4 linked regions of the Diceros bicornis minor genome follow. The protein of the gene in region 4 interacts with the protein of the main gene of each other region in a biochemical or structural test. Links are inferred from orthologs where the notes say so. Each region holds a gene or a part of one and is shown on either strand. Other genes may lie near its edges. The genes, in order: ETS2, ZNF106, FOXO4 and CREBBP.

Region 1 (6,896 bases), on a different chromosome or scaffold from region 4:
AGAAGAAGATAGACATTGCCTGCTCTTGCATAGTTTGTGACCACCCTGTCAGGAGGCGGGGAGCCTGCTAGATGACCCTAGGTCTGCCTGGGGTTCCTGGTACCTGTGCCACCAGCAGATGGGCAAGACTGGAGGGCCGGCTGGATAGGATACATGTTGTACGAATATTTGGAGCTGGGGGAAATGGGGGTTATAAAGTTTGACTTTATCTGTTTCTTGACCCCAACATGTATCAATGGAATAATTGCTACTTGCCAGACACCACCCAGCGACTGCAGGGTGAATGGTCAGCAAAGGAAACACAGGTGCAGAACATGCATGAATTAAACTATTTCTATCTCTAAGTATATTTTCTTCTCCCCCGGCCCCCACCTCCAGGATTTCCAAAGTCTCACATTTGTGTGTGATTTTTACAGTACCATGTACTACATTCTTACTTCTTCGAGGACAAGGACTAAGCCTTACTCATCTTGGTCTTCTCAACAGCTGACATTGTGTTTGCTGAATAAATGATATACCTCAGACCAAATGACCTCTGTTTAGTTTGCAACTGGAGACCACCTCGAACTGTGTGTTAACTATTGATTTGGATTTCAAGGTAAATACAGAGGTATTTCTAAGGAAATGTTTTTGCTGTTTTTTTTTTTTTTTACAGGATGACTTGATAAGCTAATCATTCTTAATAATTACGTCTGGATTCTAAAAAACTCTTTATCTGCATTTTACTCTCTGGACATTTAGTACTTATAATGCATACGTTATACTGTAATGTCCTCTTTCCTCCTCCCTTCTATGAGCTTCTCTCTTTCTTAAGGGAAAAGAGATTGCTCTTAAACTCAGCTTGACATGGTGCATCTGAGCATTTCACCCTGCATGCCTTCTGACTTCTAATTTCCTTCTAATACCTTCGACTTTTGATCTTGAAGCACAAGGGCGGTACTTTTATTAGGTTTAATTTACTGTAAAGCTCGGTGTTCCTTGTGAATCAAGCCATAATAGTCAATGAATAATCGCCAGCTTCAGCCAGGCCAGGTTTTAGTTCTGCTGAGTAACTAGGAAACCGACTAATAACAGGAAGGCTTAAAAATGTTAGAAACCCCAACATCGCCCCAAAACTAAGATAAGCCATTTTATCACGAGCATGGGACCACCCAAGCGTAGAGGGACATCAGCCACCACGTAGGTCCCCAGGCCAGGGGGCTGCTTGGATGAGCCCAGGCCTCCTCAGAAGGGGAGGCAGGGAGTGACAGGGGCTTGCGTGGGGGACAAGAGCCCAGGCTGCTGTGTGACCCTGGCTTCCTCTGCCTGGCCCCGTGCATCTTTCAGCTCTGCCATTTGTGCTTCTGGCCAGACCATTCTCAACAGGCTTTCACACATTTCCATCTGAGAGAGTAGGGATGATTTTTTTTTCATGCATATAATATTTTTTTCAAAGGGTTTTTCATAAAATGATCCCAGAGGGAAGATTGCAATAAAACCTTGATCGCTCTATCATTGTGAGCCTCTCTTCCATGGCTCAATATTCTGATAAATCCTTTACATTTTCGGTTCCATGTCAATGGTCATCACAGCCTTATGACCTAGGTTCCGTAATCACCTTTTCTTCTACAGAGAGAACTGACCCCAGGTTTGAGTTCGAGCAGAAGAAAAATTGACTGTCAGGAAGGGGTTGTCTCCAAACCCCTGTGCTCTCTTCTTTTGACCTCTTTCTGCTTGGACATGTTGGAAACGGCCCAGCATGAGCAAAGCACCCCTCCCAACCCCCAGCCTGCACCAGCCCCTCAAGTAGGAGTGATGCCATCCCAAAGAGTCAGTGGACCTCAATGACTCAGGGAGCCCCTGAGCATCCCGCAGTGAACACCCATGGGCACGGGAGCAGGTGCTGTGGACAAGACCATCCCACTTGAGCGACTGAACTTGACCTAATGCAAGCGTCTCAGACACTGTGAAGGGCTGTGTGAGAAGCCTGGGGGAAAAGACCTTCTATTAGCTGAAACTGCAGCCCAGATGAGTTACTATTTTCTGCTACAGTTAAAAAAAAAAGTACTCTTCACGATTCCATGGTAACTTAGTATGGATCTGTATTTCATTTGTGAAACTCCTTCTTGACCTATCTATGATTTTTGATCCGGGCCTGAACAGACACAGAGAAGCCATCAGAATCAATTCCACCTCCAGGAAACATTAACCCCCTGCAAGCGCTCCCGGTTGTTTCAGCTGCATAGACCCAGCCTCTGACTCATACAACGGTGACACCGGAGACCCTCAGGCACCTAGAAACATTAACGTGCAATGTTATCTCAATTATCGGGATCGCGCCGGATTTCGGGTTGCCATGGAAACCAGGAACCTTGGTAACAAGGAAGTGAGGCAGTTCCTCTCCTTCACGGCTCCGCAGTCCCTGAGCTGCGCCAACTTTCAGTCCCACCGCCATGCCTAAGCTGAGCTATTTGATTTTATGCCCACTTTCAGGAATCTAATAAATTTTCCTCTCAAATATTGAGAATCTGACCTGAATCTGAATAGGAAATGCACACATTTCTAGCCATGCCTTCAAGCATTTTCTGCTAAAAATGGAAACCGGCACTGTGGGTGGCAGTTTCCCATGGTTGGGAGCCTGATAAAATCGAGTTTCAACCCTGGATTTCCCATTTATATGTTTTATGACCCAGCAAGTTATTTACCCTGAGGTTCAATTCCCTCATATTTATTTATTTTTTTTAATTTATTTATTTTTTTATTATTTTGTGTGTGTGTGTATGTGTTAGGAAGATCAGCCCTGAGCTAACATCCATGCTGAATCCTCCTCTTTTTGCTGAGGAAGACCGGCTCTGAGCTAACATCTATTGCCAATCCTCCTCCTTTTTTTGCCCCCAAAGCCCCAGTAGATAGTTGTATGTCATAGTTGCACATCCTTCTAGTTGCTGTATGGGGGACGCGGCCTCAGCATGGCCGGAGAAGCGGTGCGTCGCTGCGTGCCGGATCAGAACCTGGGCCGCCAGTAGTGGAGTGCATGCACTTAACCGCTAAGCCACGGGCCGGCAGAACTCCCTCATATTTAAAGTGAGAACAATAACGCCTGGGAGAATTATCATCAAGATTAGCCCAGAGAAGCCCACTCCAGGCTGGTTTCTATTAAGGCACCGCTCAACTCTAGGGGGTGCCACGCACCCGGAGGCTGTAGGAATGCGGTCTCCCGGAGCAGGGTGGACCCCTCGCCCAAGCAAAGGTGGGCAAAGGGCCCGGTTCGTACATTTATCATCTCATTTAGAGTCTTTTCCTGATAGAGTGATCAGAAATCATAAGCCCAGGAGGCGACCCAAGAATGGGGCCAGAATAAGCCCCTTATTTCCCAAGCCCTGCGGCCACTCGGTGCCACCAGCACCACCACACCGTTCCTGCCGAATCTGAGAGGCACGTTTGGTGTTAAAGCCTCAGGACAAGGGGAGGAGACCGCATGCTCCAAGAAGAGACTCTCCGCCGACCTCCCGGGACCCACGATCGCACAGGGCGCCAGGCCTCCGAGTCCCCAGGGGCACAGCGTTCCTGGAACAGCAGGCCAGGGACAGAGCCGTGTGACAGCGGGCGCGGAGCTAGGTCCCGGCCGGAAGCAGCCGGCTCCGCCCCCCCGCTCCCCTCCCCTCCCCTCCTCCACCTCTCCTCTCTCCCCTCCCCTCCTCCTCCTCTCGCTCCCTCCCCTCCTCTTTCCTCCCCTCCCCGCTCTCTTTTCCCCTGCCCCTCAGCTCCTCCTCCCTCCCCTCTGTCGTCTCGCCTCCCTCCTCCCCCTGCTCCTGAAGAGCCCGCCGCGAAGGGGACAGGCCGGTTACTTCCTCCAGCGACGGCGCGGAGCGCAGCGTAGCCGCAGCCCCGAGCGCCCGGAGCCGCCCGCCCGCGTCCCGGCGTCCCGGAGCGCCCCTGCCCGCGCGCCCTCGGCCCCGCGCCCCGCCGCGCTCGCCCTCGCCTTCGCCCGGCGCGCCCCGTGGAGCCCGGACCGGGAGCAGCCGCCGGCCCTGCCCGAAGCGGCGCGGTAAGAGCGGGATCCGGGGCGGGCGGGCCGGCCGAGGTGCCAGCCGGCCAGGCGCGGGCGAGGGGGTCCGCGGGGACCCAGAACCCGGGCGGGGGAGGTGGGTAGCGCCGAGGTCCGGATCCCCGGACGCAGCTGGGGGCAAGGCGGAGTGGCGGCTACTCCTAGGATTCGGGAGTCGCGCGTCCGGGTTCCGTTCCGCTCCAGGTGGCCCGGGGCAGGGCGCGGGGTGGGCCCGGCCGTGACGCGCGGAGCCGGCCCGGACCCCCGCGAACTTGGGCCGCGGCCCCGGAGTCGCCGAGCCGGCTGGGGCGGGCGGGGCGCGCTTGCTCGTTTCACTTGCTTTTGTTTTTAAAAAGAAACGCGGGCCTGGTGGGGGCCTCCTGCCAGTGGGTGCCCCGCGGACCTGATTTCGCACGGGGGCTGGGGGACGCAGGAGAGGGTGTCTGAGGGTCCCCGGCGCGCCCGGGTTTGCTGGTGACTTACTGGAGCGCGCCGGGCCCGGGTGGATCTGGGGCGCCCGGCGCCTAAAACACCTGAGAGGCTGCGGCTCGCCAAAAACGCGCGGGGCCTCCGCTCACCTGCTCGGCCATGTCCTGGGCCCGGCCGGGCGGCGGGCGAGGGAGGCGCCCTGAGGGTGAGCTGGGACTTCTGGATCGGGGCCCCTCGGTCCTGCGAGGCGAGCATGAGGAGCCTGTCGGAAATGGAGATGTGGATGCGCAGGGCTGCCTTTATTTTCCCGTTCTTAAAGCATTTTGAACGAAGGCATAACAGTGAGCGTTTGTGCGTGTGTAGGGTTTTATTTTATGTTTTTAAGCACGAGACTTTTTTATATTGGCCTGTATTCAATTTCAGGGTAGCCTAAAATAGTAGTTGACGTACTGCTTATTTAGAAAGTAAAGAAGTGAGCAGTCCCCTTTGGAGATAGGGGTAATTTATTTTAATTCACCAGTAAGAGATTATGTTTATTCCGGACAATGGAAGCGCCTGTTCACTCTCTACCTGGCCGCACCACCACCAGTCAGGGAGATAAATCTCCAAGTGAAGGTTTATTAAAATTATGAGTAATATCACAGTAGAGTAAATGTTAGCCCCGTGCGTCCTGCAGGGAAATATTGAAACACTCATTTATGGACTTAGTCATTCCTCTGTCTAAATTGATAACTTTCAAAGGAAAAAGCAAAGCAACCCTCAAAAATGCATTTCAGGTTTGTTTTTGTTTTCCAAATTTACCTAAATACAAACATAATCTCACATAAGCGATCACTTGTTCTAATAAGGATACAGTTGTCTGGCAAGTTCTTCTTGTTTTAAAATTTAACAATTCTCAGCCCTTATATTTCTGCCATTTTTTCTTTTTTTGTTCCAAAGCAACACCAAAAGGATCCAAATCTGAAATTGATTCATGTGAGAAACTTGGCCTGTCTGCCACCTTAACGAACCGTGATGAGTGAAATAAGTGAACTTAAATTTGGTTAGTGCCGTCTGCCTGAAACCGTTGGTAGAACACTTTGATTCTACGTGTTTTTTACGAAACAAATTAAAAGCTGGACAACAGAAGAATTCTATTCTGTAGCTAGTAATTACAGCTCTCTATGTGGGAGGGGTAGACTGCCTTTTCTCCTGGTATTTGTCCACAAAAACCTGACAAAGCTTTTCCACCTCCTTCGGCATCCATTCTCTGCCCATCTCTGTGAGGCTGGAAAGCATAGAATAAAGTCAGCAAGCTGGCTGCAAACAGGATGCAGAGAAAGTGCTGTCCTACTGCGCTCTGGATGGGTGATTGGCAACAGTGAAGATGTTTTTTCATTTTGGTCTTCTGTTGCAGGCTTGTGTATTTAATCGACAGGTAATAGGACCTAGTTCATCCAGACAAATGACATGAAGCTCTAAATTAAGGAGCATTTCACATGGTGAAGAGGAGTGAGGCGGGGCCTGCTCTAATCATATCTATATGCTATCTCTGCTCTGTAGTGATGTGGGGGAAGGGCCCATTCCTTACCTTTCAGGTTGTCCTGGCATGTGGAGGAGCTCAGGATTAGGGCCATACTCCACAGGGATTTGGTCTCACTCTGCCCCGAGGAGCCCCCGCAGTAGCTGTGTGATCCTGGGCAAGTTACCAGAGATCTCTGGGCCTCCGTTACCTCACTGTAAGATGGTATAACATCCACCTGTCAGGGTTGTCAAGGAGGTGGGAATGGGTGACCCCCCAGCTTGGGTTTAGCTCTTAGGGAGCAGGATTCTGTCAGGGCAGCCAACAGTAGTAGTGCAGAGTGATTCTTGATCACCAAGTGGAGGTTCTGAGCAAATGTGGCCTCTTGTGATCCAGGACAACCCCTCTCCTGCCCTCCCCGAATAGGGCTGTTATTTATTGCCACTGCTTTCCAGTGTCTCCTGGCCACCATGATGGTTACCCACAGTGAGGGTTTTAAGAGCCCTCTCCAATGCCTCTGGACTCCCTCTGCGGCAGAAACTCTCCTCCCATGCTGCCTCTCTAGCCAAGGGGTGTGTGTGTGTGTGTGTGTGTGTGTGTGTGTGTGTGTGTGTGTGTGCGCGCGCGCGCGCGCGCGCGCTTGCGTTCTTGGGAGTTCTGGTTTAGCCATACTGTTGATGATAGCGAAAAAACAAGAAAGCACAAACTCAGCCTGGTTACGGGAAAATATGCTGTTTGCCACCTCCAGTAAGTTCCATCAATTGCACAATATTTTAATTACTCAAAGTTCTTAGTTGTAAGAGGTGGGAGCACCCATTGGAGACCACGGGGGTGGGCAATTATGGGTTACCCCGTAAGGCTTCCTTATAGGCCTTCAGTTCCGTGGCCGGGAAGCCCCCTTTCTCACTTATTAATATATAACCTACCCAGCCAAACAAT
Region 2 (7,479 bases), on a different chromosome or scaffold from region 4:
GCCATGCTGTGGCAGGTGTCCCACATATAAAGCAGAGGAAGATGGGGACTGATGTTAGCCCAGGGCCAATCTTCCTCAGCAAAAAGAGGAGGATTGGCTACGGATGTTAGCTCAGGGCGAATCTTCCTCGCCAAAAAAAAAAAGGACTTAAAGAGACATAATAGTCAAATGCAATTCATAAATTTTGAGGGGAGGGCCGGCCCTGTGGCTTAGCGGTTAAGTGTTCGCCCTCCGCTGCTGGCGGCCCGGGTTCAGATCCCAGGTGCGCACCAACACACCACTTCTCCAGCCATGCTGAGGCCGCGTCCCACATACTAGAAGCTATGTGCACTAGAAGAATGTGCAACTATGACATACAACTATCTACTGGGGCTTTGGGGGAAAATAAATAAATAAAATTATAAAAAAAAAATTTTGAGGGGGAATTGCGTCAAAAATGGTTAAAAAAGGGGAGGACAATTTGGGGACATTGTTAAGGATTGGGTATTAGATAATATAGAGGAATTGTTGTTCAGTGTGATTATGATATTGGGTTATGCAGGAAGATGTTCTTCTTATTAGTGACATCAAAGTATTTAGGGGTGAAATGTCAGGAATAAAAGCAAATAATGCATGGGCCGGCCCCGTGGCTTAGCGGTTGGGTGTGCGTGCGCTCCGCTACTGGCGGTCCGGGTTCAGATCCCAGGCATGCACCAACGCACCGCTTCTCTGGCCATGCTGAGGCTGCGTCCCACATACAGCAACTAGAAGGATGTGCAGCTATGACATACAACTATCTACTGGGGCTTTGGGGGGAAAAAATAAATAAAATGTTAAAAAAAAAAAAAGCAAATAATGCAAAATATTAACAGATCATAAAATCTGAGTGATCGATTTACAGGAGTTCAATACGGTATTTTCTCTACTTTTCGGGATGTTTAAAAGTTTTAATAATAAAAAATAAAACAGAAAAGCTTACAGAGAAAATTACTTCCCTCCCACTCACGTTTCCTAGCCACCTCCACCTCCAGCCACTGTTACCAGTTTATGCATTCTTCCAGATATTCTTTGCATATATATGCAAATACATATATTTTTAAAAACCACAAATGGATGCAAACTGCACACTCTCTTTTGCACTTCTTTTTTTCACTTACTATATCTTAGAACTCACTCAATATTTGCACACAGAAGGCTGGCTCATTCTTTCTAACAGATGCATAATTTATTTAACCAGTCCTCTTCTGAGCAACACTCAGGAACTCTCATTTCTTGACAGTCTCTTTCAGACAAAAAAAATAAAAAAGGAAAAAACACGAATTGACTGTAAGGTTTCAATTAGAGATTTAGCATGCTGGATGTGCAAATGGAGTTTTCATTTGTAACTTGTCTGCTTAGGTGCTCTTAATCACTGGGTACACAAATTCATCCTAAACTTCCCACTAAGATGCTGCAATTACAAAACACACAATATGTACACTTCTCACTGAGCCATTCCTGGTCCCAGAACCAAGTCGGCTAGCACCCACCATTATTCCTTGCTTCTCTTCTACAGTAGTCTTCAAACTACATGTGCTCTAACCTAGATCTACAACAATCACAATTCACAGTTTTTCCTTTCTAAATATGTTCCTTTTAATCAAAGCAATTGGTTCCAAACTAACCTGATCAGACTCCTTCACACTTTCTACCTCCTTCCAAGCCACTGTGAAGTTCTCTTCAAAAACCATCTAGTAAGTACCTTTAAAGGCTGCTACCACTTTCTAGACTCAATAGTTCTCTACAAACTGTAATTGGAATGCAGTTGCTTCTCAGCAGAAGTGCTTGAAATATCTAACTTGGTGTAGCAGCAAAAAGATTAGCTTTGGCACTGTATGTGCATTTCACTACTTAACCCTAGCTAAACTAGCTTAAGCAAATTACCATCAAACTCTCAGCGACCTCATCTAAAATGTGCTCCAAAAAACCGCCTTCCGTTACAATATCTCATTAATTTTTTGTGACAGACCTGAGTGTATCTGTGGTAGGTGAAGTAGGTGCTAAATAAATCCTAGTTGAATCTAAATATTATCTTCCATTATTTGATTCACGACTAAAGTTGAGAAAGAGCTTAAAACTAATTATAAGATTTCCTAAAGGGTTTAGCACAGTACTAAGCTCTTAGTAAGTGCTCCAAAGTTATTCTGGCTTGAGTAAATTCGATATAAACCATTATGGTGGATAAAGCACTCTCTTGGTAGGTAAGAGAAGAACTTCCCTTAACCAGGATGGCAGTCCCAAATTGCTAAGAGTCATGGAAATCTCAAACTTCCCAACAAGATAGCTTAATCTCAAAAGATGGTTCTGACTCTCAAAGATAATTAAATCGAGCAGATTGAAGGGGGAGTGGGGTGCAAAGCATTTCCTCTCCATAATTATGCACCCAGATTCGGACTAAATACTAAATTGACACATAGTAAGCGCTCCATAATTAACAGCTATTATTAAGACGCATCCCATAAGGAGAGAAGACGGAAGAAGGAAAAAGAACGGAGGCTGTAAGTCACAAGTGGTCGAAAGGTGTTCCTGGCCGGAGACCCGTAGGCCTTTAAGCACCCTGACTCTATGGGCTCCCTGCGGCACCAAAGGCCGAAGGAGGTCAGCGGCCTCCCCTAAAGGTCAAGGCTCTGCCGCCACGTTTCCGGCTGGGAGCAGAGCCGGAACGCCCCCGCGAGAATCTGTACCGCGAAGCCAAAAGCACCGCCTGCCCGTAAACCCGCGCGGCTCGGGGAGAGGGGACGACCGGGTTGCCCCTGCACCGCGGCCTGCAGGAGCAGAGATCCGGCCGCGTCCTGCAGCCCCAAACCTCCCTAAGGGGCAGACCACCAGGACCCTCGGGCTCCGATACGCCTCAACGCAGCTCGGCCCCTCGATACTCACACTCACAGGCGACCCCTCTTACTCCATCAGGCCGCCGAGGCCCAGACGAGGGAGCTCCCTGACGCCCCAGACGCCCCCTCGGTTTGGGGCCCGGCGGCCCGCTCCGAACCGGCTCCCCTCCGGGCTCCGCTGCCGCCGCCGCCGCCAGCGCGCAAGCGCACACCGCCGCCGTAGAGCTCCCCTCTCTTTTTTTTTTTCCTTTGAGGTCCGCCTTTCTCAATAATCTAGCTTTATTTGAACTCACGAAAGTGAACAACGGACACAGGGGGAAAAGGGTTTATGTACTCTAAAAGAATGGGAGAAGACAAAAGGCAGGCAGGCTTGCGAAGTTAGTCCGCTGCGCTGCACGCTCCTGTGAGCAGCCTCCCGGTTCCTTCTTCATTCTCTTTCTCTTTCCGGGCCTCGCTCTTGCTCTTAGTCTCTTCCTGTCTCCACCATTCCCTTTAGGCGGTGGCAACTGTTGCCGCTACATTGCCAACCACTCCTTCCTTCTAAAATTTACTGAAGCTTAATGGAAGGTGCAAGAGCTTTAGAACACACAGACCTGAGTTCCAATTTTTTTGACCTGGATACTAGTACTTTGTGACTTTGTGTAAATTACAAATTTTCTTGGAACCTCACTTTCCTCAGAGTTAAAATTAGGATATCTCTCAAGGTGTTGCTAGGATTAAATGACATAACATAGGTCAAGTGCCTATCCATAATGGTGCCTATCAAAGAGCAGATAATCCATTAATACTAATAATTACATTCTTATTAATACTTAATGTATTTATATTATATTAATTATTAATATTAATTTATCTTAATTATATATATTAAACTTAGCCCATACCCATTCTCTCGGGATCTTATTTTAGTGACTAAAACTAGTGAGATAAACCAAATTACATTAAGGTTGATAATTTGTGAAGTGTTACTCCTCCTATATTGTTGAACTTCTAATAATATCTATGTTTAACAAGACCTTCAATGCCTCAGATCAAAGTAAGCAGCTCCCTTCATCTCTGTGTAAATCCAGATTTGCTTCTAGAGGATTGAGGAACTATTCCCATTCTGTGTTTGTGACATCACAAGTCCTTGAAACACTCAAGGTCTGAGGTATGCTGCTCATTCTACTCTCCTTTAAAGGCAAGCAATGGAAGAACTGCTTTACCCTATAAGCTCTGGACCATAGTCCAACGAAAAGCTTGTAGAAGACCAAGGTCAGCTGTTGGTGAGCGTCAAGGTAATCCTAGATCATGATTTCTCAACCTTGCCTTGGCACTATTGACATTTTGGAGATAGTTCCTGTGCTCTCCTGTGCATTTTAGGCTATTTATCAGCATCCCTGGACACCAGATGCCTGTAGTGCCCCCTTACATCCCCACCCACCCACCATCTTGATAATCAAAATGTCTCCAGACATTGCCAAATGTCTTCTGGAGACCAAAAAAGGAAAATGTCCCTGGTTGAGAACCATGGCATTATGCCAGTGACCATCCCAACGCTAAATGAACTCAACCATACATTTTCTCCACTTCTACCTCAAGAAGTGATTACTGCTTGAGAAATCTATGCAGGAGGGCAGAAACTGGTGAGTTCATTTTTACCAATCTTATACAGGCCCTCAACATGGCTTACCAGTTCTACTACTTTCCTCTGGTCAATTTGCTCTATCACTTTCTACAACATTCCAAATCTTCTCCACTTTCTTAAAATTCCCAACTCCTTTTCTATCAGCAGATGACCTCATCTCCTACTTCACAGAGAAAACAGAGGTGATCAGATGAGAACTTCTTTAACTTTCTGTTACTAAACATACAAACTTACAGACACATACTTCCTCTCATTATAATTGAGAAGATCTCTCTTCTAAGACTGTCCCCCCATCAGTGCTCTGGATTGCCTCCATTCTTACCCTCTGAAGATCTTTACCTACTAACTAGCACTTCTCTTTATTCAACTGTTTTTTCTCAGTTGCATATTCCCTATCATGCTTAAGTTTCTCCTGCCTTAATTCTAACAAAAAATCCAAGAAATAGAAACAAAAAACTTTGACCCCTTGTCATCCCTTTCCCTCCTACCCTCAAGGCCAAACTTTCCAAAAGCTTTCTACAACCTGTCCCCATTTCTGTATCTCCTCTCTCTCCAAACTACTGCAATCTATTTTTCAACTTCATCCCAACAGATAGCTTTCGCTAAGATCACTAATGATCTCTGTGTTACTAAATTCAAAAGATATTTCTCAGGCTTCATCTTCCTTGACCCCTTAGGAATAGAATATTCCCTCTTTAAAGCATTTTTCCCCCCCAGCACTGTGCTTTATTTTTAGAGGTGCCTGGAAGAGTTCCCAGACCTGCTTAAAACCCTTCAGTAGCTCTCAGTGATCACAGTATAAAGTGCAGGGTCACTAGTCCAAAAATGCAAGACCTCCCAAGATCTGGCAATTGCCAACTTTTTAAAGCTTATTCCCCCTTCACCTGGAGATATACGATGAGCTCTAAACCTCTAACCAGGATGAACTACAAGTAATTTCCAGAAGGCGCTATGTTCTTCTTGGCATACGCTGTTCTCACAGTCTGGAAAATAGTCTCTCTCCCTCCCGGACTTCCGGGGGAACTCCTACTTATCCTTCATGACTCAAAAGTCATTTCCCCCGGGAACCCATCCAGCCACCCCTAAGAATAAGGCACTGTGTTCACTGTGCGCCAGCGGCGCCTCGGATTTTCTATATGCCATGCACTATATTCTATCCACTATAATTTATTTACATATCTATCTCCCAGTCTAGACAGATCAAAAGACCCTAGAGGGCAGGGAAGGCATTCTATTCGCTTTCTTTTCCTCAGTGTTCATCCCGCACAGTGCCTGGCGGTTTGCCCTCAGTACGGTACATGTAAATGTTTGTTGCTTGAACACTTCCCACCTACAAGCGGGACTCGAATTATCCGGTTAACGGGTGAGTCCCCAGGCTCCTCGCCTGCGTGGCAGGGAGATTTAAACCCCCCGCACCGTGATTGGCTCCAGCTGCAGGGGTGTGGCCGCACCCGCGGCGCCGGGGAAGTGCGCAGGCGTGTGAGGCCGGCGTGCGCAGGCGCAAGAAGGGGCAGGTCCCAGTCCAGTCTGGGGGTGTCCGAGCTGCCGAGGCCGCAGAGGAGTGGCCGAACTGCGTGGTGAGTCTCCAGGAGTGGGGCTGAGGGAGCTGGCCGAGGTGAAGGTTGGGATCGTATCCGAAGGAGAAAGAGTATATCATGACGGTTGAAAAGTTGGTAGGATCGGGCTTTAGGGGAGGAGCGGGGCTGTGGCTCGGACTGGGCAGGTCGGGCCCGGAGCGAGGACGCGAGGCGCCAGGAGACTGTCGAGAGGCCGGCACAGGCAGGGTGGCGGGATGGTGGTTCTCTGGACCCTTTCTTGAAACCGAGCGGAGGTAAACTCTCACTCCCTCACCCCCGACCTCCACAGGTTTGCTGTGGTCGGGATTAATAGACTGTATGGTGACCACAGTGATCAGATAACTGTGAATTAGTTGTCTGAAGAAGATCTCTGAGGTTCATGGCATTGGCGAGTCCATGCTTTCTAGGAAAGTACAATCTTACCTGTTTTACTTGGTTCTCTCACGTTCTTCCGTAGCCTGGAAAATACCACACTTGAAATGCATGAGGCATCATTAGCTAGAATACTCTGAGATCTAATCTTAAAATGTCTCATAGTAAAATTTTTAAAAATTAATATTTTTGCCACCAGCAAAGTTGATGCCTAAGGCATTCAGTGATCCTTGTCATTTGTTCCTTTGGCAAGAGGTAATGAAAAAGACCGCATTCGTATAAATACTAGCAAATATTAGGAGAAACAGGAGAAACACCTCACATTACCATTCTCTTTTGACAGGTCATGTGAAAGTAAATAAAATGATCATATAACTTAGCCTACAGCTTAAATATTTATCATTGTTGCTAGGGCTTTTTTTTTTTTTAAGTGCTTGTGGTATGTGGATATGCACTAGAAAGTTGCTGTTATCTTAGTTCCAGAATAGGACTGACTTATTGTGCTATTATTTTCTTAACCTTATTACACTGTTTCCTATGAACAGTAGAATATCTGTATGGATCTTAGCCTTTGTTTCTTTTACTCTAAAAGAACTTAAGTATACTAACAAGCTCACTTAACTAAAGGTCACATTTTTTCTAATCATTCAGAACACAAGCTTAAATCAAGAAGAAAGCAAACAAACAACAAAACAGGCCCTGTTGCTCGTGGAACAGCTGTCAGTACTTCATTTATCATGAACCATACCACCATCATAAATTTTGCCTTTTAGAGGATCGTCTGTGTTATTTTACTTCGTATTTTTAATAGACTTTTTTTGAACATTACCCTCTTCCAAAGTGATAATCTACGAAATCCTGGTCTTGTATTTTATAATACTTTCTAGTTTTGTGTATTTTATAATATTTTTTCTAGTACACATTATAATAAATACATAACTATTAAGTACATAACTATTGCTTATATAACAGCTAAAATCATCTCTTGTTGTTGCTCTGCCCTTTGGAAAATACTGTTTTGGGTCTAATCTACTCATTTTTAAAATGAAGTAAA
Region 3 (7,984 bases), on a different chromosome or scaffold from region 4:
AGGAGGAGCCCAGAAAGGCTTGGAACAACTAGGAAGCTGAGGCTATAGACAGTCAGAAATCACTTCATGTGTTTCTAGATAAGGAGACCCTTTGCCTAGGAAAAGATGCTTAAGTAGCTTCTTGTTCCAGGGCTCTTTAGCCAAAGAACTCTTAGTCTCCCTGGGACCATGCAATAATGGCACTCCAACTACTCTGGCTGCATTAATACTCAGTTCCTTCAAAAAAAAATCACACTTGTCCATCCAACCTGGGCTCTTAGTAACCGAGGACCACAGTGACTTCTGGCACCAAGATTTCCCCCCTTTTTGTCCTCTAACTCTGGGTCTACTGAGAAGGCCCATTCCTTTCCCTACTACTAAATACACATGAGGCCCATTTGTTCATCCCCTCTTCTTTAGGCCTTGGGACTAGTACACGGTACAGCCTCCTACCTGGAGAGGTCAGCTCCCTAGAAGCCTCTAATTCTTACCTGTTGGAAGCGGGGTGACTGCTAATTGCTCCCCAAGCCACCTAAACTAAGCTTTCTTGTTCTAAGTTAGTGCCGCCCCCTGGTGGGGTGGTAGTAACCTTGGCCCATCACTAGGAAAGCCAGTTCAGGAGTGAGGCTTCCCCTCCTGGGGTGGAGTGAGGATGAGGAGTGGGGGTGAGAGCCTTGGAGACCCCAGGCTCATCCTGATTTGGCTTTGCCATCATTTCAATGAAGAGAATTTGGCAGCATGGACTAGCAGAAAGAGCATATGATTTATAGTTAGACCTGAGTTCAAGTCCTTATTGTACTGATATCAGGTGAGTTTCCTAACTTTTCTATACCAGGCTCCTAATATGTAAAATGTGGAATCTCAGAATTGCCGTGAAGATTAATAAAATAAAAAATTTAAAAACTACTTTGTAAACTAAAGAGCCCCATATAAGTGTAAATTAGAAGGAGAGACTACACTCCCACAGCAAAACTAACAACTCATGATTATTTCTCCTACCCTGGAAAATGAACCTAAGGGAAAAGAAAAACAGCTGTGTAGGCTGGGTCCAAGGAGGGGAGCTCTTTATGAGCTGCGACTGTGGCGTGGCAGTCTACCCAGAAATAGTGCCAAGGGTCTCAGTCAGCTGTCCTGTTTTCTGTTCTGCCCAACCCCTAGGATACTGCAGATCTGATCCCTTGATACCTACGGGAAGAACCTCTGCTCACTCAACCCTCTGTACTTCCTTGTATGCTGACCTCACCACCTATGAGGATACAAGATACATCCATAGGGGTTGAAGCTCTCCAGTTTCGTGAATAGAGCCCCATATTTCTCAGGACACATTTTCAGAGCATCTAGTGAGATCTTTTCTCACAGTTTCTTCATGGAAGGCCAAGGGAACTCCCAACCTTGTGCTATGAAGTCAGAGCCCTATCTCTTTTTTTCATGACTAACATTCCTCAACAGTAAAAGAAAACTTTCCTCCCAAACTTGGATAGCTCCTTACAAGGGAGAGTTTCTTGGCATTATAGGGTAAACTGAGCAGGTAGCAGTTCACAGCCTTTTTTTCTTGGTGCATAAGATCAGCTACCTTACCCCATGAAGATCACTCTTCTTCTCTTTTTCCACTCCACTCCCTCTTCTTGGGTACAACAGTACCTCTACCCTGAGGTGTTGGGAGGTAAGCGGGGAATCCAAGTAATCCCACAGGAATGGGAGAAAAGGTGTTGGGGTGGGAGGCGGGGGAGGAGGGCAAGCTAGGCTCCTGTGGGGAATCCACACAGTTCCTGCTGTACATAGGATAAAGACTTCTCTGTGGGAATAAGTGTTTGGGGCAGCCCAAGCCAAAGTGCTGGGAGTGTTGAGCAGTGAGCAGAGAATTCAATTTTCTCCAGGGCAAGGACAGTGTCTTATTCATCTGTGACACTCCAGCATCAAGCACTGAGCGTGGCATATATTATTTCCTAAGCAAATGTTGGTCTAATTGACGACTGAAGGTGAATCTCTGAGGTGAGGGTGTAAAAGGGGCCCCAGAGTAGAAGTAAGGAGGCTAGGGGGCCCAGGGGCAGATAGTATTGGGATGGAGGTAAGGGGGTCATAGTTACCTTCCATCCTGCTGAGCTGTTGCTGTCACCCTTGTCCTTGAAGTAGGGCACAGTGCGGACCATCCACTCATAGATCTGGGCGAGTGTCAGTCGCTTCTCTGGGGCACTTTCAATGGCCTGGCTGATGAGTTCTGCATATGACTGATTTCCCCAGGCATTCCGGCGGGAGCCTCCCTTCCGAGGACCTGTTACAGCCCCCAGGATCCCAGGCTGGGGGCCCCCTGCCGGCTCTGGGAGCCGGGAGGGCAACAGGATCGGCTCTGAGCGCCCCTCCGTGTGTACCTTCTCCCCCAGACCTGGCTCCACCTCGGGCGGCTCGGACGGCTCGGTAGCAAGCTCTGGTCGGGGAAGGGGCCAGGTGCAGGAGCGGGGACGGCTCTGGGGTTCGAAGTCGGGATCGAGGTCTATGATCACGGCAGCCTCTGTGGCTGAATTCTCATTCTCTGGATCCATACGTGGAGTTGGACCTCCGCCGCTCAGCGTTCAGAGGAGCCTGCCACAGTCCCTTACGATGCCTCCCCCCAGGGGGGAAGCACTAAGGGCCAGGAGGCACATTCCTGCCAGTCCTCAGAAAGTCGCGAACTTCCCCCTCGCCCCAAGACGCCAGCCCCCAAGCTGTCCCTTCCACACAGTTCTCGGATCCTCTTCTCGACTACAGCCTGCAGCCTCAAGAGCTCTTTCCGAGACACCACCTGTAACCTCCGCCTAGCGAAGACACTTTTTCTCCAACCTCTCACTCAGCTTCCTGCTCTTTTAAACCTGAGGCACGGTATCCCCTCATACATTGCGCTCCCATCACCGAACGTCTCTTGAGCCGCAGTTCCCTCTCCCTTTTAAGTTGCTGCCCCCCGGACACTCCTCCCAAATTTCCTCCACCCGGATCACTGCCCTCCCCCACGCCCCGCTCCCCCGCGTCACTTGCCCCTCCCCTGACTCCCCCGCCCTCCGCCTCTTCCCTTCCCTCCACTCTTGATAAGGTCCACGTCCCCGCAGCCCCTGGCCCTCTTATTCCCGCACCAATTCCCCTATCAACCCCCCCACCCCCCGCCCCCCGGGTTTCCCTTTTGTTTTGCTCCAAGCAGCAGCCCCCGCCTCACGTCTCTGTTTACCACTCGCCGGGGCAGCCATCTGCGCACGCGCCTGGAGAGGCAGTTGGGAAACTGAGTTCTTCAGTCGTGCCACCCGGTCAGGCCTGAGGACTACATTTCCCGTCCTACTTCGCGGCCAGGAGCCCGATAAGGGCGGCAGGAGAGCGGCGTGGCAGGATATAGGGAGGTGGAACTTTAGTTATTAGAGATCTTCGCGGACTCTTTTTCTTTTTTTAAAAATCATTTTCCTCCTTTCCCCGCTTCCCACCTCCTCTCTTGTGATTCAGGGTCGCCTAGGTGACTGTGTTGAGAGATGCTAGACCTTTCCCTCTTTCAGTTAAAAGAGGGCAAAAGGAAAAAAAATGTGGTATCTACAAGAAACAAAACTGAGAACCAAAGAACTGATTAGAAAAGAGGCTGTATGCATGTTGGGGAGTTGAGTGCTTGTGTAACATAAACAAATGGTTAGCTGATGGTAGCATCTCCCTCAGCCCCTTCAACCTCCCATACGCAGTTCACACTGACAGTGCAGTCGCAGACCAGTTTTCTCCACTGGGTCTTCTGGCCTCCCCTTAAATGTTGATATTCTCTGGGTTCCCGTCTTAGGCAGCTTCACTTCTCATTCAACAGGTCCCAAACTGAACTCGTTTATCTATTCCTGCACCCACACCCCTATCCTCTGGCTACCCTTATCTCTGAATTTGGTTAATGGTTGTCCTGATCTACCCAATCTTCCAAGCTAAACTTACCCTTCACCTTTTCATCTCCCTAACTTCCCACATCCGAATCCCAGTTCAAGACCTTATTTATCACTGGATTAAGTTGCAATATCATCTTTTTTTAAAATAATTTTATTTATTTTTTTTTCCCCCAAAGCCCCAGTAGATAGTTGTATGCCATAGCTGCACATCCTTCCAGTCGCTGTACGTGGGACACAGCCTCAGCATGGCCAGACAAGCGGCGCGTCGGTGCACCTGGGATCCGAACCCGGGCTACCAGCAGCGGAGCGCGTGCACTTAACTACTAAGCCACGGGGCCATCCCTGCAATATCATCTTAATCGGACCTCCTGCCATCAATCTTTTCCCCACTGCAGTTTATGTTCTATGCTGCCAACAAAGTTACCTTTCTAAGAAACTCTGCTCATAACAATAACTAACTAAAATTTATGGAGCACTTATTATGGGCCAGGCACTGTGCTGATTGTTTTGCATACATTAGCTCCTCTACTTCTCAAATCAACCCTGCGAGGTAGGTGCCACTATTATCCCCATTTTATAGATGATGACACTAATGCTCAGAGATTTAGTGACTTGCCCAAAGTCACACAGCTAGGAGGCAGGAGAACTGGGATCATATCACTTATATGTGATCATATAATTTCCCTGCTTAAAACTGCCTTTGATTTTCCCCATTGCCTATGTGATAAAGTTCAAACTCCCTAGCAAGGCATACAGGTCTCCTCAGATTCAGACCACTTCCCACCTTTCCTGCTTCATCTTTCACTGGGCGCACTAAGTTCCAATGAGTCAGAGTTTCACACTATTTCCTGGAAATACCATACCCTTTTATGCCTTTGCCTGCACATCCTGGGATGTCCTCCCTCTCGTCATCCCCTCCCCAAGTCTCTTATTCTGGAACACTCCTATTTAACCATTCCTGTCTCCCTCAGGTGCAGTTAGTTCTCCCTTTTCTGCATTCCCAACCACTTTGTGCAGGCTTATGTTCTATAGCACAGACCATGTTGTATTGTCATTATTTGTTTACATGTATGTCTCTTCTACTAAACTGTGAACTCCTTGAGGGCAGAGACAAGTTTTGTGTATCTCTGTGACCCCAGCTTGGAGTCACAGAGGAGACATTCAATAAATGTTGGTCGAATGAATGGGATCAGGAATCAAATGACATTGCACTTGTACATTCGACAACTTTTTAATAAATGTATCATATGTATTTTCTGCCTGGCCATGTCCCAATTTTCCCTTTAGACAGCAAGCTCCTAGGGGTAGGGACTGTAATTTAACTTGTCTGTACAGTGCCTAGCATTATACCATTTGCAGTGTTGCTTGATACGTGCTCTGTGATGACCAGACCTTCTCCCTGTCAGGAAGGATATCCATACAACCTGGGATTTTTCAAAGGCAGCAGCACATTGGGCCTCCAAAATGATGTTAGTCTGCTTACGGTAACAGAACAAACTTGGTTCTACATATTCCTGCCTCCCTCTACTCCAACATACATTTGTCCTCCATCTGTCATGTAGAGAGTAAACAAAAGACCGTGTATTCCTACCTGAGGTCCAGACTCGAGAGATGGGACATAGTTGCTCACAATGCCTGGCAAACATTTCCTGCATATGCCTCTTCCTCCTGCAGCACAGCCTGGAGTACTTGGTAGGTGCCACAAGAGTGGGGAATTTGGTAGAAGAGAGAGCCTGGTGGGCACTAGGTCACAAGGAGCTCTCTTCTAACTGAAACAGATGTGGTGGCAGATCATGCAGAGCTGCTGAGGCAGGGAAATGGCAGGGTGGGGCAGGCACCTGTCCTGGATTCAGTTATATCTTGCATTGTCTCTCTTTGTGCATTTGTTTGAAAAGGGCCACTTTTCCACCAACTCATGTCCATCGCCTCTTTAAATTTCCAATTCAAAGCTCAAAACTTACGTACTCTTGGAAACTTTCCCCAACTAGCCCAACCTGACAGATCACTTACCTACTTTGCATCTCCTGTACCTCTATGAACTCAGTTTGTATTCTTTAATTTTGTGCTTGTGGTTACATGGCTTTTCATTTCAGGAGGGCATGTTGTCTCCCCCTTATTACTGTGGGAGTGTTAGAATATACATTAGTCAAGAGACAGAGTTAGCAATGTGGCCTTGGAAAATAGAAGAGACACTGGTCAGGAAAGAAGACTAACAGGAGACCCCCAGAAAGCCACTGTAGTCATAAATTATGAACAGATATGGCAGGATATGGGGGGGTGGGGCACAGGCCTTTTTCCCAGTTGCAACCTCTGAGTTTGTGGTCTCAACTAGCTCCCCATTCAACACTTGTTTTTTTCCTCTCGAAGGTCATAGGGGTTTGGCTCTCTTGCCTCTTTCATTGCCACTGCCCACTCTTCTACCTGGGTGCCACCCCCCAAGCCTGCTGCCAAACCGGCTTTATTAATTTGAATTGAGATAGACATTTCCCCGCTTCTTTCTTACCCTGCCCAGCTCTGAAAAACACACAACCTCCACCTGGGGTTTGTATAGGATTTTTGCTAGTGACTACAGGGAAAGATGCAGGAGTTAACAAAAATAACAATGAGAAAGTTCAAGGAATCTCAGAAAGCACCACCTCTGCTTGTCCTTGGTCTTCACAGATGGGTATGGAATGTACATGTTTTTGGTAGCCCTCTTCCATAAGTCCTGCCTTATGTGTTTCTGTGAAAGATTTCTAGTCCTTCTCTTAGAAGCCTGTACCACTCTCCCAACCCTGCTGTTGTTTTAAAAAATCTTTTAAGTTAATAAACATTTTGTAAGAGCCTACTATTTTCCAAACACCAGGCTAGATGCTTTTACATAAAATGCACCTCAGACTAAAGTCCTCAGGTTTAGCCCCAAGAGGATTTGAGTTAGCACCACTACTGAGTTGGAGGCAACTATCATTCCTTTCTGGACCCTAAAAGTCAGTCTGATGTAGTGAAAAGCACTAGGTTGAGTCAGGAGAGCTGAGTCCTTGTCATAGCTCTGTCACTAAATAATTGAATAATGACAATAATTACACTACTATTAATAAGTAACATTTATGGGTTTTCATATGTGTTAGGCACTGTGCTAAGAGTTTTACATGGATTATCCGATTTAATCCACACAGTAAGCATGTAAGTTAAATGCTATTACTATTTTCATTTCACAGAAGAAAATGAGACCTAGAGAGGGTAAAGGAACCTACTTAAGGTCTGGAGTTGCTAAGTGGTAGAGCAGAGGTATAAATCCAGGCAGTCTTGACTCCAGAGCCTACACAAGTCAATTCACCTCTTCCGGCTTTGCAAAATGAGAATGTTGTATTGGATAACCTCTAAAATCCTATTTCCTATGATCTTCAACCAGACCCCAGATTGCCCTTTTGGCCGTAGGCTACCCTGAGCTTTCACTTCACACCCACACAAATTCGGTCCTGGCTCCCTGCAGGAACAAGGTCAAAAAGCTGCATCTCTCAGGTTTGGGGCTCGCCTGAACTGACCTTTGAGCCTCCTCTTTAACTCTTCCTGCAGGCCTCTATGGTTCCAACCTTTGAAAGTCCTACTGGCATGATATTTACTAGAATTATTAACCAAAGAGTTTCCAATACAAGAAAACGTGCTTATATTTTAAAGTTACGTGAAAAGAGCAGGATGCAATACTTTATGTGCCGTATGCTCATAATTTTATTTAAAACACATTGAGAAAAGATAGGAAATGCCAAAAAGTGTTAACAATTGTTATCTTTTTTCTTTTTACTTTCTTATATTTTTCCAATTTACTATGAATGTGTATAACTTTTAAACTGGGAAATATGCTTTATATTTTGCCTCTTTCTATAAGGGATTTGAGGCACTTTACCATAATAAGAGTACAAATGTCCTAAGATTATAGGAATAGAACATCAGGGGCCGGCCTGGTGGCATAGTGGTTAAGTTCCTGTGGTCCGCTTCGGCAGCCCAGGGTTTGCAGGTTCGAATCCCAGATGTGGACCTATGCACTGCTCATCAAGCCGTGCTGTGGTGGCGTCCCACATACAAAATAGAGGAAGATGGGCACAGATGTCAGCTCAGGGCCAATCTTCCTCACCAAAAAAAAAAGAAAGAAA
Region 4 (7,051 bases):
CCTTCAGTGACCTCTCCCATCTGTCATAGGTGGCAATGGCATTTATCACTTGGAGATGCCACCTTGTCTCACTGGAGTATTTTATGCACATCCACACTCCCCCAGCCAGCTAGACTGCAAGTGCCCTGTAGGCAGCACCCTGGCTGGTAAGCTCCCCAACGTCAGGTTCTCCTCTCCGCCCACTACCAGCCTCCCTAGCCTCATCTAAATGACACCCATGGCTCCACAGGCCAGTCCCCACAGATGTGTACCGCATAGTGGCAGTCCAAGTCACTCTTGTTTATCAGGCCAGCAAGGCCTCCTCCTCCTCACCCCTCAGCTCTTCCCATGCACGGAGCTCCCCTCCCTCAAATTTTATCACATGAGCAGGGAACACACCTTGTGCCACCTGGCCCAATTTTCTCCTCGAAGCCTCAAACACACATTCCCTCAGTAAAACAAAGCTGAGTCTCTTAAGAACTTTATTCCCAGGTCTTTCCTTACCTTCCCATACAACCAAATGCCTTCACTCCTTTGACTGTATGAAATTTAATCCTTTAGTTCTTTATTTGCTTAATATACACGCTTAAGATCTCTGTCTTAGACTAGTAGTTACGTGAGACAAGGCTGTACCTTATTTAATGTGCTCGACCATGATCCTTTCTTTGCTAACAGACCTAACAGACACTAACAGACCCTTTCACAATAACCCTCTCATGTTGTTGATGAACATGTAATCAAGTACGGGACATAAATATGATCGTGAATTTTATTCTTTGGATTATTTAAATCAGAACTATTAAAAACTGACTTTTCTGTTCCACATTTGGAAAAGTAAAAGAGCCCCCATGCCTTACGAGGGTTAAAATCGTAAAGGAAGGGAAAAAAATGGTCAAGGGTGGAAAATCCTTTCTGATAAACTTGGTTGCGATTAGCAGCACATTAAGTAAATATCTGACCATCCAATAACAGAACTACCCAAAGGCCATCCTTTGGGCTCCATCTTGGAAACAGTTGGATATACAGCTGGACAAGCCTTTGCGTTAAGTCTGTGTTACTAATTTGTCCCTCTTTCAAAAGCTACAGTAACCTCACTCAACAAGAGCAAACTGCAAAGCCATTCAAAAGTGACCAGTTCAGAGGACAGGTTTCAAAGCTGAACTTGCCTGGTATGATCTATGTTTCATTTGATTAAAGACTTTTCACTCAAACATGGCAAGATTAACGAAGCAATGGAGATCTGTTCTGCAGTAAGAGGACATTTACATCATGGTTGTTTCCATATTTCTCACTTCAGATAAGTTGATTTTACCAAATTAACAAACTCAACTCCATTAGTTTTCAAAAAAAGAGTATTAGTGACTTTCATATATCATGAGCTTTATTTACTCCTCCCCCGTTTAACAAACTTTATTTTAACTAGACAAGAATCTCTTTATGATCGATTTGTAAAAAAAAAAGTTTCTCTCACTTCTACATTAATATTCAAGGAACTGTATTAAAACTTAAGTCAAAAAATTCAAGTTTTGTTTCAACAGTAGAAACATTTTTAGACTACTCATAGGAGTACGCTAGTGGTCAGTCATACAAATATTTGCACGAGCTGAACAGCTGTGTCTACTACAAATCTGAAGGCACTGCTGCAGGAATATAATTCAATTTGGGCCCATTCATTAAATTTTCAGATGCTGCTACTACAAGACTGTACTGAAGAAATGCAAGCTGCGCTGGAGACCGAATTGTTCGCAGCAGCGCACAAGTTTTTACTGCAAAGGAGAGCTCTAAAAGAGGAAATACAACTTGTTCATAATGCTACCATGAACCAGCCCAGAAGAAGCCAGAATTACTAAATGAATAGAAAACTAAAATATTTCTCTTAGGCAACTGATATGATTACCTAAGAAAGTTTTCAGGGAAACTGTTTAATGAAGAAAAGGATGACATTCACTATCCTGCTAAATTTTTTTTTGAAAACTCGTAATCACTACATTCCTTAACATAATTTTTTGTACACCTACACTGTAAAAGCAACAGGAGCTCAAACGGCGACTGCAACCCAAACGAATCTATTTAACTTTCTTTTCAAGTTATACACGTGAAATTACACACACTACAGCCACTCTTATGACATCTTGCTAACAAAGTTTGGGGTGGTGAAAAATGGCATGACTTAGGTGACCAAACAACAAGAGCCTTTCAATTAGCTACTAAGCATTTTTCCAAGGAGAACATTCCAAGAAACTTCTAAGTCGTAACTCACAGGCGGGCTGCTGCTCTGAGTGTCTTCTGGCCGCCGCGTAGTGGATGTGTTACCAATTCAGAAAACCCTTCGGGTCCCCTTTCGGCTGCACTTTCTGTCTCTAACCATCAAACGTACCCTCCGCTGTCATCCCTCCAGACGCCCGGCCACGCGTGTGTCGACACACGGCGGCAGAAGGAGGCGGATGGAATCGCCACGCTCCACTTTACTTTTCTCCCTGCAAGTACCACTCGGTCTCCCCGCGAGGCTCTCCAAGAAATCCGAGTGCACCGGGCATGTGCCGCCCCACTCGGGCCCCACGACAGTCTCCCCGCAAACTTCCCCCTCTCAGGCGGGGGTCCCGGGAAGGGGCTGCGCCGGCCTCCGCTTCGGGGGTTCCGCACGCCCGCCGCCGAGTTCGGGTCTCCGCAGGCACTCCCCTCCCGGGGGGCCGACAGCGACCCCCGGGGCCCCTGCCCCCCGCCCGGCCTCCTCCTCACCTGTGCTGTCATTCGCCGAGAAGCCGGGCGAGCTGAGTTTGGCTCGTTTGGGGTTGGGCGGTCCGTCCAGCAAGTTCTCGGCCATTTTCACCTGCTCGCGAAAACAGCCCCGAGCGCGGGCGGCGGGGCCGGCGAGGCTCCGGGGCGGGGGTCGGCGCCGGCCCCGGCCGGCTGCGAGGGGAGAGCAGCGAGCGCGAGCCTGGAGCCGCGAGCCGCGAGCCAGCGAGCGCCGAGGGAGAGGGAGGGCGCAGGGCCGGGTGGGGGAGGCGGCGGCCAAATCTCAGCCACAGCAACAGCGCCCCGCAGCGCTCACCGCCCGCCCCCGGCCGCCGCCGCCGCCGCCGCCGCCGGCCGCGGCCCCCTCATCCCCTGCCCGCCTCCCGAGCGCGACACTCCGCGGCGGGGGCGCCCTGGCGGCCCGGCCGCCGCCCCGGGCCCGGCTGGCAGCGACGGCGCCCGGCCGGGCGGCTCAGGCAGTTCCCGGGAACATGGTGCCGCCGCCGCGCCGCCGCCTCGCTCCCCCCCCGCGCCCCACTTAATTAATTCGCTCGCGGCCCGACGACCCGGGGGCTCCGGGCTCCGCTCCCCGCCCGCGGCCCGCCGCCGCCGCCGCCGCCGCCGCCGCGAGGAAAAACAATGCGCGAAGCGGGGGCGCCGCCGCCGCGGCCCCCCCACCCCCCGTTCCGCCGCCGCCGCTGCCGCCGCCGCCGCCGCCGCCGCCGCCGCGGCTCCGGGAGGCCGAGCCGAGAGGCGAGCGGGGCCGCCGGAGCGGGCGCCGAGGGCCGGGCGGAGCGGGCCGGCCGGGCGGAGCGGGGTGCGCGGGCGGTTGTGGGGCCCGGGACCGGCGGGGCCGAGTAGATCGCGCTCGAAGCCCCGGTCGGGTCCGCGACAAGATGGCGGCTGTTGATTCCTCAATTAAAAAAAAAAGAAAGTTTTTTTTCTTCTCTTTCCAGAGCCTGAACGGGGAGGGGGAGGGGGCGGGGCACGCCGGTGCGTCACCCCCCCGCGGCGTCACCACGCACGGCCCCCGCCCCGCCCCCTCCACCTGCGCCGGCCGCGGCGGAAAGAGCCGAGCGCGCTCGGGCGGAAAGGGCCGAAGGCGCGACCGCTGTGCGTGGGGCGGCCGGGCGGTAGCCCGGCCTGCGAGACCCTGAGCGCCCAACCCGGCCGTCACTTTTGTTCTGACGGCGACTGGGCTGCGGGGCCCGGCGAGGGCCATGGGCGGCGGCCTGGCCGGGGGCCGGGCTCCAGGCGCGGAGTCGGTGCCGGCTGGGCCCCCCCGTCCCTCGGGGGCGACTCTGCCCGGTCCCAGCTCCTCATGTCCCTGCTAGCGACGTCGGAGGCGACCCGGGCCCGGCCTGGCCACTTCCCCTCGCCGGAGGCCAGCGACGTGTCGTGTCCTCTGCAGGTCACAGACCGCCCTCGGGTCCGCCTGCGAGCGTGTGGAGATGGGGAAACTGAGGCAGGAAGTGGCAGGGCCGGGATTCGAATACTCCCCCTCAAGTGAAGTGTAGGGGACGCAGGACTCCTGAGCCCCTGTTCACCAGCCCCATGCGATGGGGCCCCCAGGCCCGACACCCTCTCCTGCAAGGGGAAGGGGCGAGCGCTGCCCCCCGGGCTGGGGCGCGGTCACCTGCGCCGGGCCTAGAGGGCCCCTTACGTCAGCGCGGAGGGCCTCGCTGGCCTGCGCGCGCTCCTGCTCCGCCCCCCGCAGGTGCCCCAGACAGGTGTGGGTCCCGGGGAGATCGGCTCGCATGGCCACTCCCCGCAAGACGGTTCCACAAAACTCTAAGATGTTCACATCTCAGCTTGTTATCTGCTCCTCAAAGCGTGCCGGAGCTTCATCCCTAAGTCCTTATCTGAAAGGTATCACCAGCAACCCGGTTCCTAAGCAAGAAACCTGTACGGGAGTGCGGACTCCTCCCTCCCTCCATCACCTCGCACCCAGGCTCCCCACGTCCTCTACCTGGGAAACGGCCCTTCCTCCCCATCCCACTACACCCGAGTCGTCCGGCATCGCCCGGGTGGCTACGGTGGCAGCTTCCAACTTCAGTGTCCCTTGCGCTCCACGTTTCTCCCCATGCAGCACCAGAGTTAACTTCCTGGAAAAAGAGAGAAAGAACTCTGTTTAAAACAAATAGCTCCTACACATGGGGAAAAAAAGACTATATATATATAGTCTGTTTAAAAAAAAAAACCATATGTATAGTCTGTTTATATACCAAAAGAGTGATTGTCTTCAAGTGTCAAGACTGAGTGATCTTTCTACTTTTTTGTATTTATCTATATTGTTCAAAATCTTGTACTGCCCACCCCTCCTTCCCAGCATCTGTCTCTTCCACTTTCCATCCCTCACTCCACCATCACTCCTCCACAACCACTCAGCCACTGGGAAGTTCTTATCATTCAGGCCTTTTTATGCTTTTGCAAATGCTGTTCCCTGTACTGAGAATACATATGCCTGGAAAACTCTGACTCATCCTCCAGGACCCAGTTCAAATGTCACCTACTGCAGGAAGCCCTCCTAGCCCACTTCAGGACTCCCACAGCATTCTGGACAGACCTCTGTGAGGGCACACCTCACACTTTGTCACTTTTTTTTCAATCCATTCATGTTTTTATTTATCCATCAAATATCCCTTGAGAATCTCCTGAGGGCAAAGAATAAAGAAAGAAATCCCTGTATATTCAAGGAGGCCAAATGGCAAGCCCTGGAAATCATAAACAGAAGTATTCAAGAAGCCAGTTTGCACAGGAAGGCGGGAAATGTATCAAGTCATAGAGTAACACAGGGCTGGCAGCACCTTGTATCTGAATGTGCCGTGTGTGTCCCTGTCACCACCAGTCTGTGGGCCCCTTGAGGGCAAGGGCCATATCTTAGACATAGTACAGTGCCCCTCAAGAAGTAGGTTTGGGGCCAGCCTGTTGGCGCAAGCAGTTGGGAGCGCAAGTGGTTGGGAGCGCACGCTCCACTTCCGCTGCCTGGGGTTCACAGGTTCGGATCCCGGGCGCGCACCAACGCACCACTTGTCGGGCCATGCTGTGGCGGCGTCCCATATAAAGTAGAGGAAGATGGGCACAGATGTTAGCTCAGGGCCAATCTTCCTCAAGAAAAAAGGGGAAGATTGGCATCGGATGTTAGCTCAGGGCTAGTCCTCCTCACAACAAAAAAAGAAGTAGGTTTGTAAAATTTGATGAATCAATGAGTGAATGAACAATGTCAGGTCTCCCTAAGTCCTAGAGGCCTCCAGGTCACTGAGAAGGGTGAGTTCCAGCCTAAGGCAGCTCCATGCCACTCCCACAGAGAGGACGATGTGTCAGGTCACCGAAGCCTGCCTTGGGTCACCACCTGGCCCTCGGGGTCCCTCGGTAAATGGTTTACACAGCCATGTGCACATGAGCTCACACCATCCCCCATCAGTGGGCAGCTATGGCACATGTCATGTCCACTTTTACAAAGGGAGAAACTGAGGAGACCCAGTCCCAATGACTCAGAGGTAAATGACCTGGACATGTCAGGGCCAGGCCTGAAACACAGGTCTACAAACTCGAAACCTCATGTTCTTCCTGCTCAACCCTAAAACATACCTGCTCTGCTGTCCCTTTTCTGTCTCATTTGTATCATTTTGATCAGTTCTGCTGGTATTTCCTGATATCTGCTTTTTCTTTCCTGTTTCTTCTCCCCTTGGTGTGACTCTCATCCAAGAACGCTGTGCTCAGACATTGATGGGGGAATAGCAAGAAAGGAAGGATGATTCCTGCCCGCACACTCTTAGCTGAGGATCAGGGTCAAAACAGATGAAAGGGACCTGGCACTGTTGAGTGCCTTCTGTGTGCCAGGACACTCTGCCACACTTGGATCTGCATTTCCCACAATCCTGGAAGGAAATATTGTCCTCATTTTATAGATGAGGAAATGAGGCCCAGAGGAGGGCAAGTCGCTCAGTCACTAAGAGGCTCACCTGGGTTGCAAACCTAAGGCTGCCTGCTCTTTCTAGTCTCTAGTCTCAGATCAATGAATCCCCATTTACAGAATGCTCGGGGGCCGAGAGAATGAGGCGAGGAGGGACCAGCAGAGGAGCAAGAGGTGGAGATAAATCAGGAAAGATTTCCTGAGAGAAGTCCATTTGAATCCATCAGCTGATGAATGGATAGACGTGTTATATCCACACAATGGAATATTATTCAGCCATACAAGGAATGAAGTACATGCTATGACATGGATGAACCTTAAAAATGTGATGCTCACTGAAGGAAAACAGCCATCCAAGACCACATATTGTGTGATTCCATTTCTAGAAAATGTCCAGAAGAGGCAAATCCACAGAGACAG

Evidence for each region.
Region 1: the proteins of CREBBP (region 4) and ETS2 form a complex in vitro, tested with the Homo sapiens proteins (2 studies listed by BioGRID, with this or other methods). The link is inferred for Diceros bicornis minor from reciprocal best matches to the Homo sapiens genes CREBBP and ETS2.
Region 2: of the proteins of CREBBP (region 4) and ZNF106, one has a biochemical effect on the other in vitro, tested with the Homo sapiens proteins (2 studies listed by BioGRID, with this or other methods). The link is inferred for Diceros bicornis minor from reciprocal best matches to the Homo sapiens genes CREBBP and ZNF106.
Region 3: the proteins of CREBBP (region 4) and FOXO4 form a complex in vitro, tested with the Homo sapiens proteins (2 studies listed by BioGRID). The link is inferred for Diceros bicornis minor from reciprocal best matches to the Homo sapiens genes CREBBP and FOXO4.

The regions. Positions count from the first base shown.
Region 1 is NC_080766.1:38,840,027-38,846,922, forward strand, and holds the start of ETS2 (protein C-ets-2), read left to right. Parts: upstream 1-3,878; 5' UTR 3,879-4,027; intron 4,028-6,896. UniProt on the Homo sapiens protein: Transcription factor activating transcription. Binds specifically the DNA GGAA/T core motif (Ets-binding site or EBS) in gene promoters and stimulates transcription.
Region 2 is NC_080744.1:40,078,403-40,085,881, forward strand, and holds the start of ZNF106 (zinc finger protein 106), read right to left. Parts: upstream 3,016-7,479; 5' UTR 2,899-3,015; intron 1-2,898. UniProt on the Homo sapiens protein: RNA-binding protein. Specifically binds to 5'-GGGGCC-3' sequence repeats in RNA. Essential for maintenance of peripheral motor neuron and skeletal muscle function.
Region 3 is NC_080781.1:64,409,366-64,417,349, reverse strand, and holds the start of FOXO4 (forkhead box protein O4), read right to left. Parts: upstream 3,004-7,984; 5' UTR 2,520-3,003; coding exon 2,067-2,519; intron 1-2,066. UniProt on the Homo sapiens protein: Transcription factor involved in the regulation of the insulin signaling pathway. Binds to insulin-response elements (IREs) and can activate transcription of IGFBP1.
Region 4 is NC_080765.1:44,566,468-44,573,518, reverse strand, and holds the start of CREBBP (CREB-binding protein), read right to left. Parts: upstream 3,019-7,051; 5' UTR 2,804-3,018; coding exon 2,719-2,803; intron 1-2,718. UniProt on the Homo sapiens protein: Acetylates histones, giving a specific tag for transcriptional activation. Mediates acetylation of histone H3 at 'Lys-18' and 'Lys-27' (H3K18ac and H3K27ac, respectively).